Linked DNA regions of Caenorhabditis elegans. The protein of the gene in region 3 purifies or fractionates together with the protein of the main gene of each other region. This does not show direct contact. Each region holds a gene or a part of one and is shown on either strand. Other genes may lie near its edges.

What was found.
Region 1: the proteins of hpd-1 (region 3) and rml-5 fractionate together in Caenorhabditis elegans (co-fractionation; one large-scale study listed by BioGRID). This does not show direct contact.
Region 2: the proteins of hpd-1 (region 3) and hgo-1 fractionate together in Caenorhabditis elegans (co-fractionation; one large-scale study listed by BioGRID). This does not show direct contact.

Annotation. Positions count from the first base shown.
Region 1 is NC_003279.8:1,791,154-1,794,909, forward strand, and holds the start of rml-5 (NAD(P)-binding domain-containing protein), read left to right. Parts: upstream 1-2,100; 5' UTR 2,101-2,106; coding exon 2,107-2,211; intron 2,212-2,638; coding exon 2,639-2,815; intron 2,816-3,468; coding exon 3,469-3,756.
Region 2 is NC_003279.8:9,053,658-9,057,413, reverse strand, and holds the start of hgo-1 (Homogentisate 1,2-dioxygenase), read left to right. Parts: upstream 1-2,021; 5' UTR 2,022-2,078; coding exon 2,079-2,096; intron 2,097-2,151; exon of another isoform or gene 2,152-2,265; intron 2,266-3,756. Other genes in the region: spe-46 (uncharacterized protein), read right to left, coding at 211-601, 649-812, 896-995. UniProt on the Caenorhabditis elegans protein: Plays a role in the tyrosine degradation pathway.
Region 3 is NC_003281.10:10,533,883-10,537,638, reverse strand, and holds the start of hpd-1 (4-hydroxyphenylpyruvate dioxygenase), read right to left. Parts: upstream 2,114-3,756; 5' UTR 2,092-2,113; coding exon 1,681-2,091; intron 1,519-1,680; coding exon 1,222-1,518; intron 610-1,221; coding exon 136-609; 3' UTR 1-135. UniProt on the Caenorhabditis elegans protein: Key enzyme in the degradation of tyrosine.

The DNA.
Region 1 (3,756 bases), on a different chromosome or scaffold from region 3:
TTTCTGAATTCAGCATATATGAATTACCTATTTTCAACAAATTTAGACAACTTTTTATTTTTGCCCAATTTTTTTGTTCCAGTTTTCGCAACAATTTACCAAACCTTAAAATTTGTTATCAAAAGTGATAATTGTTGCGGTTTTCTTTTGATCTCTTATCACTGTTCATATTATTTCCCATACTTTATTATTCTGTTTTTTTTTTAATTTTAAATTTCATATTTCCATGAAAAATCATTCATTATTCAATCTACACCTATCTGAATGTTCGGTCGTTTTCGCAAATATGCCACGTATCGATTGATTTCTCTATTCTACGTGTATGTGATGGCTCTTTACTCATTGCAAGTTGATGATGACCTCGATGATAAGGATAAGGATAATTAATTTCGAAAAAAAAAAGTTTTCTTTTTTTGAATAAAGCTAATTTTTTACTTTTTTATGAATCAGTACTAAAAAAAATCTGGAAAATTATGGCCCAAATCAAGAAATTTCCAAAAATTAACGTCTCCGGAAACTTGTTTCTCTTGTTAGGCTCCGCCCATTTTTTAGGCCAAAATTTGAATAAAAAATTGTCAAAAAAAATTTGCCGCGAAGATCATTATTTATATATTAAAAAATATTATGAATTGATACTGGTATAGGGTTAGTATGGGGATATGGTCAGTGTACTGTAGTAGTACTGTAGGGGTACTGTATGAGTACTGTAGGATTACTGTAGTTTTGGAAAAATTGACTTTTTGTCTTTTGAAGAGATATTGGTTTGAGGTTAGTAGGGGGTATAGCCGGGGTACTGTAGTAGTACTGTAGGGGGTGCTGTAGGAGTACTGTAGTTTAAGAAAAAATTTAGTTTTTTTTTTTCAAATTCAAATTTAATGGGAAAATTTTTTGGTGGGAATTAAAATCTTCTGTGATAAAATTTTGGCTGAAATTCAAATTTTCTGAGAAAAAAAACAACTTTTTTAGAAAAATCTGGAAACTTCTAGAATTTTCTAAAAATTGAATTATAATTTTTCAGACCAAACTGGCGACTAGAGTGGCGACTAGACTGAAAATTTTTCAGAGCGACTTTTTTGCAGCTCAAAGCTGTGCTCCCACTTGGTTTCAGTCCGTCAATACGGTTTGATCTACAAAAAATGCGGGAATTTTTTTGCCCAAAAAAATGTGACGTCACTCTTAACCATGCAAAATCAGTTGAGAACTCTGCGTCTCTTCTCCCGCATTTTTTGTAGATCTACGTAGATCAAACCGAAATGGGACACTCTGCCACTGATTTTTTTTGCACCAGGGGCCTATTTAGAATGGGGTTTTTTTTCAAACGAATTAGGTTTTATTTAGAAGTCTGGAACTTAGTTAAAATATATTTTATTTGGCCCTTGTAAGTTTAAGTTTTTCAGAATTTTCAGAACTTTTTGAAAGAATTTTGGCGCGCGAAACTTGAATGCTGTGGTTTTTCATGCTACGTGGCTGCAAAACTTCTATTGTCGCAGATAGAGTATACAATCAATGTCCTGGATCTATCTCGATTTCATTCGCATGTCTCTCTGCGGCTCTCATCTACCAATACTCTCTCACTTCTATCTGTTCGTTGCGATCTCTGCGCTGCCGTCCTTGACCGCGATATGTCATACAGAAACTGTATTCATTCTCGACTTTCTATTTTTTTTTGTTTTGGAGAATTTATGTTCATCTTAAAATTAATTTGGTTTTTGAACATATTGAGGAAACGGTTTTTTGAAAAATAATTTGCTTTTTTTAAAAATTTTTTTCCCAAAACACATTTTAAAAAATTAATTTTAAAAAATTTCTTTGACAAGCGACACGCGGTTCTGGCTTCCCTCATAAATTGAAATGGAAGAATTTGCCGAACTAGGCCAGGCCATATCCGGGGTAGATTTACGGCGCGTTGCGTGTCGCGTCGCGGCTTGATTTCAGTTGTAAAACTAAATGTATTCGTTCGTGTGGAGTGCACGACTTTCCCAGTCCGGCAGGCAATTGTCAATGGAGCGGGAAAAATTTAATGAGGAAGGCCAGAACCCCGTGAAGCGACACTCCGTTGCTAGGCGTTGCAGATTTTTTGTTAAACCTTCGAAATTTCAGTGAAAAATGACCGTTTTGATTACCGGCGGGATTTCAAAAATATCTACTCAACTTGCGGAGGCGGTGCTAAAAAACGGAAGAAATGTGGTTCTTCTGCACAATAATGAGGCGGTAAGTGGTGGCCTACAAAATTTTCGAAAATTAATTTTTAATTATCGAGTAGTATAGGATTTTCCAGCTGGCCGAGAAATCCTTGTAATGGCCTTAAAAGTTTAACGTTCCTATTCCGGCAATTGGTAATTTCGGCAAATTTGCCCAAATTTGTCCAAATTGCCGGAATTGCCGGAATTGCATTTTTAGGCTCCTAAATCTACAAAAAGTATGAAATTTTTATTTCCGGCAATTCTGGCGATTGCAGGTTCTCAAATTTTTCAGCAATCGGCAATTTTGGCAATTGCCGGTTTTTTGAATTTTCGGCAATTACCGAAATTGCCGAACAGCGAAAATGGTTCCCATTGAAAATGCTAGAGTGGCCTAGAAATTCTCAGGTGGCCGAGAAATTTCATGATGGCCTAATTATTTCAAATTTCTCTTCCAGATTCCAACAAATCTGATCAATAATCCATCGCTCACACTTATCAATTTATCATCAATCAACGAGGAAGCAATCAAAAATCTAATCGAAAATTACAAAATCCAAACAATTTTCGACGCATCTCTCACCACAACTGATGTGCTCTTGGAGCCAATTCAAGGAGCTAAGAAATTGATTCTGGTAAGGTTTTAGTAAACATGCTCTATTGGCAAACATTGGGTGTACTCCACGTGAAAATAGAGAAATTTCGAATTTCGTAAAGTCAGAAATTAAAAAAAAAATCCAGAAAACTCCTGGGAAGTCAGAAATTATCAGAAAATTTGGAATATTTTTTTGAAAAATAAAATAAAAATTCCAGAAGTCCACGTGGTGTCAGGCTGTCCCATCACGGTTTGATCTACAATAAATGCGGGATTTTTCCCCCAAAAATATGTGACGTCAGCACGTTCTAAACCATCTGCGTCTCTTCTCCCGCATTTTTTGTAGATCTACGTAGATCAAGCCAAAATGAGACACTCTGACACCACCTGAAAGTCCGAAATTTCTAGAAAATGTTGAATGCTTTAAAAAAAATCAGAAAATTCCAGAGGTTTCTTTAAAAAAAAGGTTGAGAAAAATTGAAAAATTTATATCTTTTCTAAAATTCTAAAAAAAATACAAAAAAATATTTTAAAAATAAATCAACATTTCCAAAAATCTTTGAACAATTTAGAAAATTCACGAAATTGCAGAAATTTTCAGAAATTTCAAATTTTTTTGAAAAATTTCCGTAAAAGCACGCGCGCTCAGTTGACAAACCCCTAGAATTAAAAAAAAATCAATATTTTTTTCAGGGAATCACGTCAATCCTCGATGCAATCCGTAAATCCGCATCCCCACCATCTCTGGTTCTCATTAGTGGTGACGAGGTGTACGGTAGGGCGAAGAATCGTGTCGAGACCCAACCTCTAGAGCCGGTCACATTCATCGGCTCAGCTCAAATGTCCGTTGAAGCAATGGCTCACAGCTATGCTGTCAGTTATCGTATTCCAATGGTCATCGGAAGGGTATCCGATGATTTATCGATTTCTGACGCGACACGTGGATTATTGGCAATTGAAAAGTTGGCACAAAGCCAAAAA
Region 2 (3,756 bases), on a different chromosome or scaffold from region 3:
GCTCTAGCTCAATGCTATAGTATTTATGACTTGTATTGATACTAAGTAGCTCTACAGTACTCCTACGGGATAAGATGTATTCGTAGTTGCCTTGCCGCGAAAAAAGCTTTTCAAGCGCAAACTTCATGAGTTTAGCGTAAGATACTTGACGTTTGTTTGAAGTTAAAGTATAATTCTCTAAAACTATCATTTTGTGAGTATAAAACCTACCAAGGAAAGTGGTAATGAAGACGCTGATGGAAGCAAAAGCGATGAAGAAACTTTGACGATTGAGAGAAACCAAAGGCGTCGGAAGAATTCCATTGTCGAACAACAAAGCAAACATGAATGGTGGAAGGAAAATAGTTGTTGGAGCAAGTGAAAGCATACGTGGACCAAAAAGATATCCACTGAAGATTCCGAAGAATAGAGTTGAGGAGAATAGAATACTACGTCTTTCAGTGTCATCCAAACTGGAATTCTTGCGAATACTGTAGTAGATGTAAACTGGCAATGCAGCAAGGATCAGAGAAACGACAGAAGTATCGAAGACGTATTGAATAAGTGGAGTCAATGCATATGCACCGGAGAGTTGACCTCCAGCCAAACCAATCAAAATGACCTGAAGTATATTATAATGTAGACAAAATAATAAAGAGTAAAACTCACTGAGATTCCAAGATACATCTCAACCAAGCTATTCTTCGTCTCTGTATCAATCACTTCCAATGGACTATTCTCTGCCAGTGACTGATTCACATAGTCTCGAGCATCATAAGCAGCTGGCTCAGCGACTTCTTTCAAACGTTCTGCAGCTTTCTCCACTTTTCGTCCTGTAATGTTTACACTCTCAATTTTTAATTAATTTGTGTAATTCAATGAAGAACTACCAGCAGAGACAAATTGAGTAACTAACCCAAATAAAAAATTCCATCGTAATATGCAATGACACGACGACGCAGCGTTTCAATGGTAGTCGTGAACTGTTCCACATATCTTTCAGAGATCTCCGTCATTGCTTTTTGTTTCTTCAACACTCAATCAAGACGCACTTCTTCGATTTTCAGCTGAAATTGTAAATTCGAGGAATGAGGAAGCACAGAAAAACTAACTAACCGCGACGCTACTGATGAAAAGTAATGAGCAAAGTCATCTCCTCATCTCCACGTGGAATGATTATTTAATTTTACATCAAAATCGTGGTTCACGTTTTAAAACAAAGATTATTTATTGTTAACACATGGAAATTAAGAAACATGTTTTTTAAATTAAAAACAGAGTTTAAAAATATTTTTGGAATTAATAATTAATGAGTCAAATCTTAATTGTTGCCCTGAATTTCCTGTAAACTTGATATCCCGCCACGATCTAACTGCTGTCGTCTGCAATTAGAGATTACGGTAGGTTATAAAATGATCGTTGCTGCGAAACACCAGACACAGGACCTTTCTTTGTAAAAGTGCAAATAGATGTGGGGTTCATTTTTATAATTTTTAAAGTTGTGCTTTTGCTTGACTACGTTATTATCGTTCTGATTTGTGTTTTAAAAATAAAGTACGTTATAAATTAATAATTTTTTATCAGTTTTGCTCAATCCTTTTCATTTAATTTTATCGGATTAGTATAGTATAGATAATTATACATCTTGTTATTAGTGTAGAGAAAATTAATATAAATATAGGTTCCAATTGCGAAAACCTGATCCTTCGTGTTGAACGGGTCTCGGTGTTATTTCTTTTTTAGAATTGCCTGATGACGTATCGTAATATTGTTTGACCTCCGCGCAGAGATATTCTCAAGAGAGTATACAACAACGACAATAATCTTATCAACTCCTCTCCAGTCAATTACCGTTTTTGACATGGTATGGAACAAAACACGTGACTATTTAACATTGTTATACCATGACGATTTCGTTGAAACGGTCATCTGAATGGGCAGAGACGCAGTCAATTGATAGAAGAGATAGTACTATCTAATTGTGAGACATAGACATTTAGATAAGGTTTTGCACGAAACACCTACAAACAACCGTATTAGGTATTCTGTTCCTGTCCGATTGACTACTTTTTCTGTAAGGCAGAATTTCGAAACTAGAAATGTCGGAATTCGATGAGGTGAGCATTTTTCTTGATTTTGGAAAAATCCTTCCCCTATCTCGCTTGTCAATTTGGTTTTAACCCAGTTAACCAAGGTTAGAATGGATTCCGACCATTCGAAAGAGTGTGTTGAATAACAATAATTTTTGGAACAGCTTATTCAGGGTTATCCGCAAAAGATAAGAATATAATTCACCAGTAACTGTGGCTCCCGATAAAGAGAAAAACTCAAGGGGTAATTCGATTACACGTTAAGGAATATTATAAGAAGAAGTGTCCATTGTTGAAATACATCTAGAATTGAGTTACTTCTCTTGAATAACATCGTTGTCTCGTTTCTTTCATAAGGTTTTCGAGTCTGAACTTATTCTTTCTTTTGCCCCTTCCATCTTTTTCTTTTCTCTTTCTTCCGCTTTGTCCTTTTTTCTAAATACGTCATCACCACCTCCTGCTCTCAAACAAAGTTTTCTTTCTTTTTCTGTTTATAGCATTTTTATAAAAATATTTTTAACTTACGAGGACAAATTAGAATCCTCGTACCAAGTTGTCAAAGCTGTTCTCATGAAATTATAGAATATTTCAGAAGTTATATTCCACCTGCTTCCAAAGTTTTTGTCTACCTTTTTCTCATTGTGCCTTTACTAATCTAGTAGTTTAGAAGTGGATTGCGTATGTAATTTGAATCGAATTTCTGTGCTCATTTCTCATTTGATCCATTGAAACTCCCTTCGAAAAAAGAAATTTGATTCCAATTTCGCCGTCGTAGGAAGCTTTTTTACTACTCGCATATTTATTTTTCAGTTCTTCAGACAAATAGGCGCTTTTAATTTTAAAAATTGATTTCTGGTGAGCAGACGTGTCGGGTTTTTGAGTTGAAACTTTGATGATCTGGCAATATTGAAAATAGGGGAAACTCTGTGACGACCAAATATTATAGTACAACTTTTCAACTTTTCGATGGAAAAAGTGAAAGCCGAAAACAATAAAATTTGGAAAGTATCTGATAGATCCGTGCGATTCAAAATCATATTTTGGAAATTGATAAAAATTGTCTTCTATAAATTTTAAATGTCACTTTTGTTGTTTTTATTCAAGCAGTGAATAAATTTAAACATTAAACATTGTTTGAATTGAAATTATTTCCAAATTTGGAAACTTGCCAAAACTTTAACTGAAATTGCTCAAAAATCTTAAACCTTTCAGCATATATATAATAGACCAGCCGTGGACCGCACCTCCGGCGCGGCCCCCGACTTCTGGGGCTCAAAACTAACTTTTTCTGAAACTACCGTAACCCTACAGTATTCCTACGGTACCACTATTGTACCACTACAGTACCCCGGCTATATCCCTACACTAACCCCAACTCACTATCCCTCCATAAGCTAAAACTTCACAGACTACAAAGACTACATAGACTACAAACTATGGACAAACGGAATAAGCGCTTTATATTTAGTAAATGATATTTGCTTTCTGATCCATTTCGAGCAAAGTTTTACAAAAAAACATTTCCAAAAATGAGGATTCATAATTCTTTCGACCACCTACACATTACATTTTTCTTCAAATGTGGCGCCAAAGGATCATGAGAGTTAACCTCTAAAAATTGATGAATATATTTGTTATTTCGCCTTCAGTTTTTTCATTTATTTTTCTCATAGTCATCCGTCTTCTT
Region 3 (3,756 bases):
TCAATAGAAAAAACAGGAAACCGTTGTGGGAATGGGTATCTTTGTTAGGGGGAACTATAATACAATCTCATGGCACATGGAATTCACTTTGGGTCTTGGCAACGAAGTGTCGTTGCAAAATAAAAAAAATATAAGTTACTTAGTATTTCCATCCTTAACATTATCATAGAACAAGTTGCCTCTCTTTGTCTGTTCCAATTCAATAGACTCGAAAAGAGCCTTAAAGTTACCGGCTCCGAATCCTTCATGATTCTGTCGCTGAATAATCTCCAAGAATAGTGTCGGACGGTCCTGGCATGGCTTACTGAAGATTTGGAGCAAATACCCATTCTCATCGAAATCCACCAAAATGTGCAACTTCTGAAGACGATCCATATCCTCCTTAACTACCATTGAAGAAGCCGCGAGACGTTCCTTGAGGTTATCGTAGTAGCTTGATGGAATGGAAAGGAATTCACAGCCACGGGCTCGAAGAGCTTCAATTGCAGTAATGATGTCGGATGTGTTGAGTGCGATGTGTTGAACACCGGATCCTCCGTAATAATCCACGTATTCCTGGATTTGGGAGATTGCCTTTTTGTCCGATGTGGCTGGCTCGTTGATTGGCATCTGCAAAATTTTTGTATTAAAAGTTTAAGCATTTTCTATGTTATTCAGTGTTTTTCAGAAAATAATTTAAATTATTTTGTCAATTTTCTGGAGAGCCAGAAAAAAAAACACAATTATTTGAAAATTCAATTATTTTCCCAAAAATCGAATATTTAAAACATTCGTCGTATTCAAATTAAAAAATGGTTTCTGAAATAGATGTTGAAAATGTTTAGATACTCAGTATTCCATATTCAAAATGCCCTGGAGGACTACACGAAAATTACAATTATTCATTTCCCACGTAGAGTACACAATTGTTCCACAAGAAAAAAAAATTAAAACCCGCGATATGTCGGCTGCTGTTATTTTTCTATTGATTATAAAGACTAACTAGCAACCGACATCTCATAGGACACCGTATTTACCAAATCGATATCTTGATTTTTTTTTGTTGAAAATTACTAATATGTATTTTCCACAAGAAATCTTGCTATAATTTTTTGAATTAAAAAAGGTCGTGCGTCTTTTTAAAACCCGCGATTTGTCGGCTGCTGTTTCTTTACAATAAAAACTAGCAGCCGACATCTCACAGGACAGCCGCACTCCATCGATCTCTTTATATTAACTAACCTTAATAGTCTCCTCGAAATTCGTTACAACAATGGAACGAAGAGCCGAGTACTCGGTATGAATCATGGAATCATCAACAGACCAGAATCGATGGAATTTCAGCACCTTCTCGTACCACTGAACAGCTGAGTCCATTTGCAAGTCTGGCTGATTACCGACACAATGATCGAGGAAGTTCAATCCAACGCGTGGAAGAGTCTTGAAGAATGTGGCTGGCATTGGATGAGCCTTGAAGCCGGGCAGGAATGCTCCACGATAATTTTTACGTTCCAGCAAGGTGTGGTCGGTTTCTCCATACTAAAAATAATATTTCATTGTTTGGATTATTAGAAATTTGCATTTCTCGTCAAAATTTTTTCTCAAAAATTTTTTAATTCCACCAAATTTTCCTGGTCAATCTTCAGTGCAATTTAACAACTTCGGAATTTTTGAAGATATTTTTATTTTTAAGTCTCTTACCGTTCTAAGCGTAGCATATCGAATGGATCCATCAGCATCTGACTCTTCAGTAATATCATGCACAATAGTTGCTCCTGCAGCTTTTGCGTGTGCAATAATCGAATCAAGATCCTCAACCTCAAAGCACACATCCTTAACTCCATCTCCATGTTGAACAAGGTGATTTCCGAGTTCTGAATTATCAGGCAACAATGCTGACTCGAAAATGAACACGATTTTGTCTTGTCGAATAGCGTGTTGAGCAGTAATTCTAGATCCTGTCTCGAGCCCCTTATAGGCAAATGGCTCAAAGCCAAAGTTTGCACAATACCAGTAGGCAGCTTGTTTAGCATTTCCGACTACAAATCTAACATGGTCGAATGCAACAAAAGTGCCGATATCTGGTTTTGCTCCTTTGTCGAATGTAGTCATTTTGATTGAAGTTTTGAGTTTTCTGGAATTTATAGAGTTTAAGGATAAAAAAGGAAGAAAAAAGTCCAGGGGGGTGGGCAGCAATTGCAGTTCGGCAAATTTTTTTTTCGAAAAAATTCGGCAAATTGTCGGTTTGTGGACTTGCCGGAAACTTTGATTTTTGACAAATTGCCGAATAACAATTTGCCTGAAGTTTTTAAAGGGATGTTTTATAAGACGGAAACTAAGCCTTTTTGGAAATTTTTTGCCCGTTTTTTCGAAATCTTTTCATGGAAATTTTTTGCTTTTTAAAATAGATGTAGGAGCATTCATAGGATACGTACAATTATGCAGAATTAAATTGATAATCTTTGCCGATTTAAAAATGATAAAATTGATAATCTAAAATTTCCAAAAAAAAAATGTGCACAGCCACAATTTGCCGAAAATATTCCGTAATTACCATTTTTGCGGCAAATTAGCAATTTGCTGTTTTGACGGAAGTTCTAAATTCTGTCAAATTGCCGGTTTGCCGAAAATTTCCATTCCGGCAATTCAATTTTTGTTCAAATGTTCTATATAAAAACATCAACTTGAGTTACAGATAATTGCAGATTTAATGTTAAAAAAATTGGCCCGCAAGTCGTCTGCCGCTTAATGAACGGAAAAAATACACCACATCTTGTTAGTAAACGTTTTGAAATTTAAACTCTTTCTGGAAAATCCCTTAACCGGCATTGTATGTCTTGAAAATTGGGGTGGCATAAGGGTTGTCTAAAAACAATATCGAAATAAAATTTTTTTGGAAATATTTTAAAACTAGGTAAATATAGTTTACAAATAGTACTGTATAGTAACAAATGTAACATAAAAGCTTTAAAACTATGTAGCATATGAAAAAATTCATTTGACAAAGCTTTGTAGTTTAAAATTTATAAATATCTACAATATGAACCGAGATACAACTCGCCAAAATGAAAGAGAGAAAGAAGAAGAAAAAACTGTAAACAACATCTGAGTGCTAGTAGACTATAGTGGCACTGTGTTACTGCACATAATGCAAGTGCCGACTTTTATAGCACCCTCACGCAAAATTCGGATCGTCACGAATTTCGTCGTCGTCGACAAACTGAAATGAGTCGACGTCGAAAGGGGCGGGCTGGGGGCGGGGGAAGTTGGACACGTGACATTGAGGAGACCACAAATAGTGATGCAATGTGGTCAAAAGAAACTGATAACGCACGTGGGTCGGCATCGTTTCGTTGAAAGATGCTGCTGCTGTGGAGACCCTAATTTGGCGACGAAACTCTTTGAAGATCGGAAGATGCTTGAGGGGAGGGGTGAGAAGAATGGTGAGGTGTCATGGGAGTTTGTAGTCGGAATATAGATGTATAGTATTTTGGTATATGATCTTATCAATGAGATCGAGTAGATCAAATCACACGGACTAACTGTTCAACGTTCTTCAAATTTGCGGGAAGTTCAAATTTTAAAGAAATTTTTTTGGCGGGAAATTCAAATTTTTTGAAAAATAATTTTCAGCGGGAAAAAATTTTTGAGAACAATTTTCGGCAGAAAAACTTAAATTTTCTGAGGTAAAAATTTGGCACGAAATTCAAATTTCTGATAAAAATATTTTTGGCGGAAAATTCAAACTTTGTGAGAAAGACAATTTTTAGTGGGAAA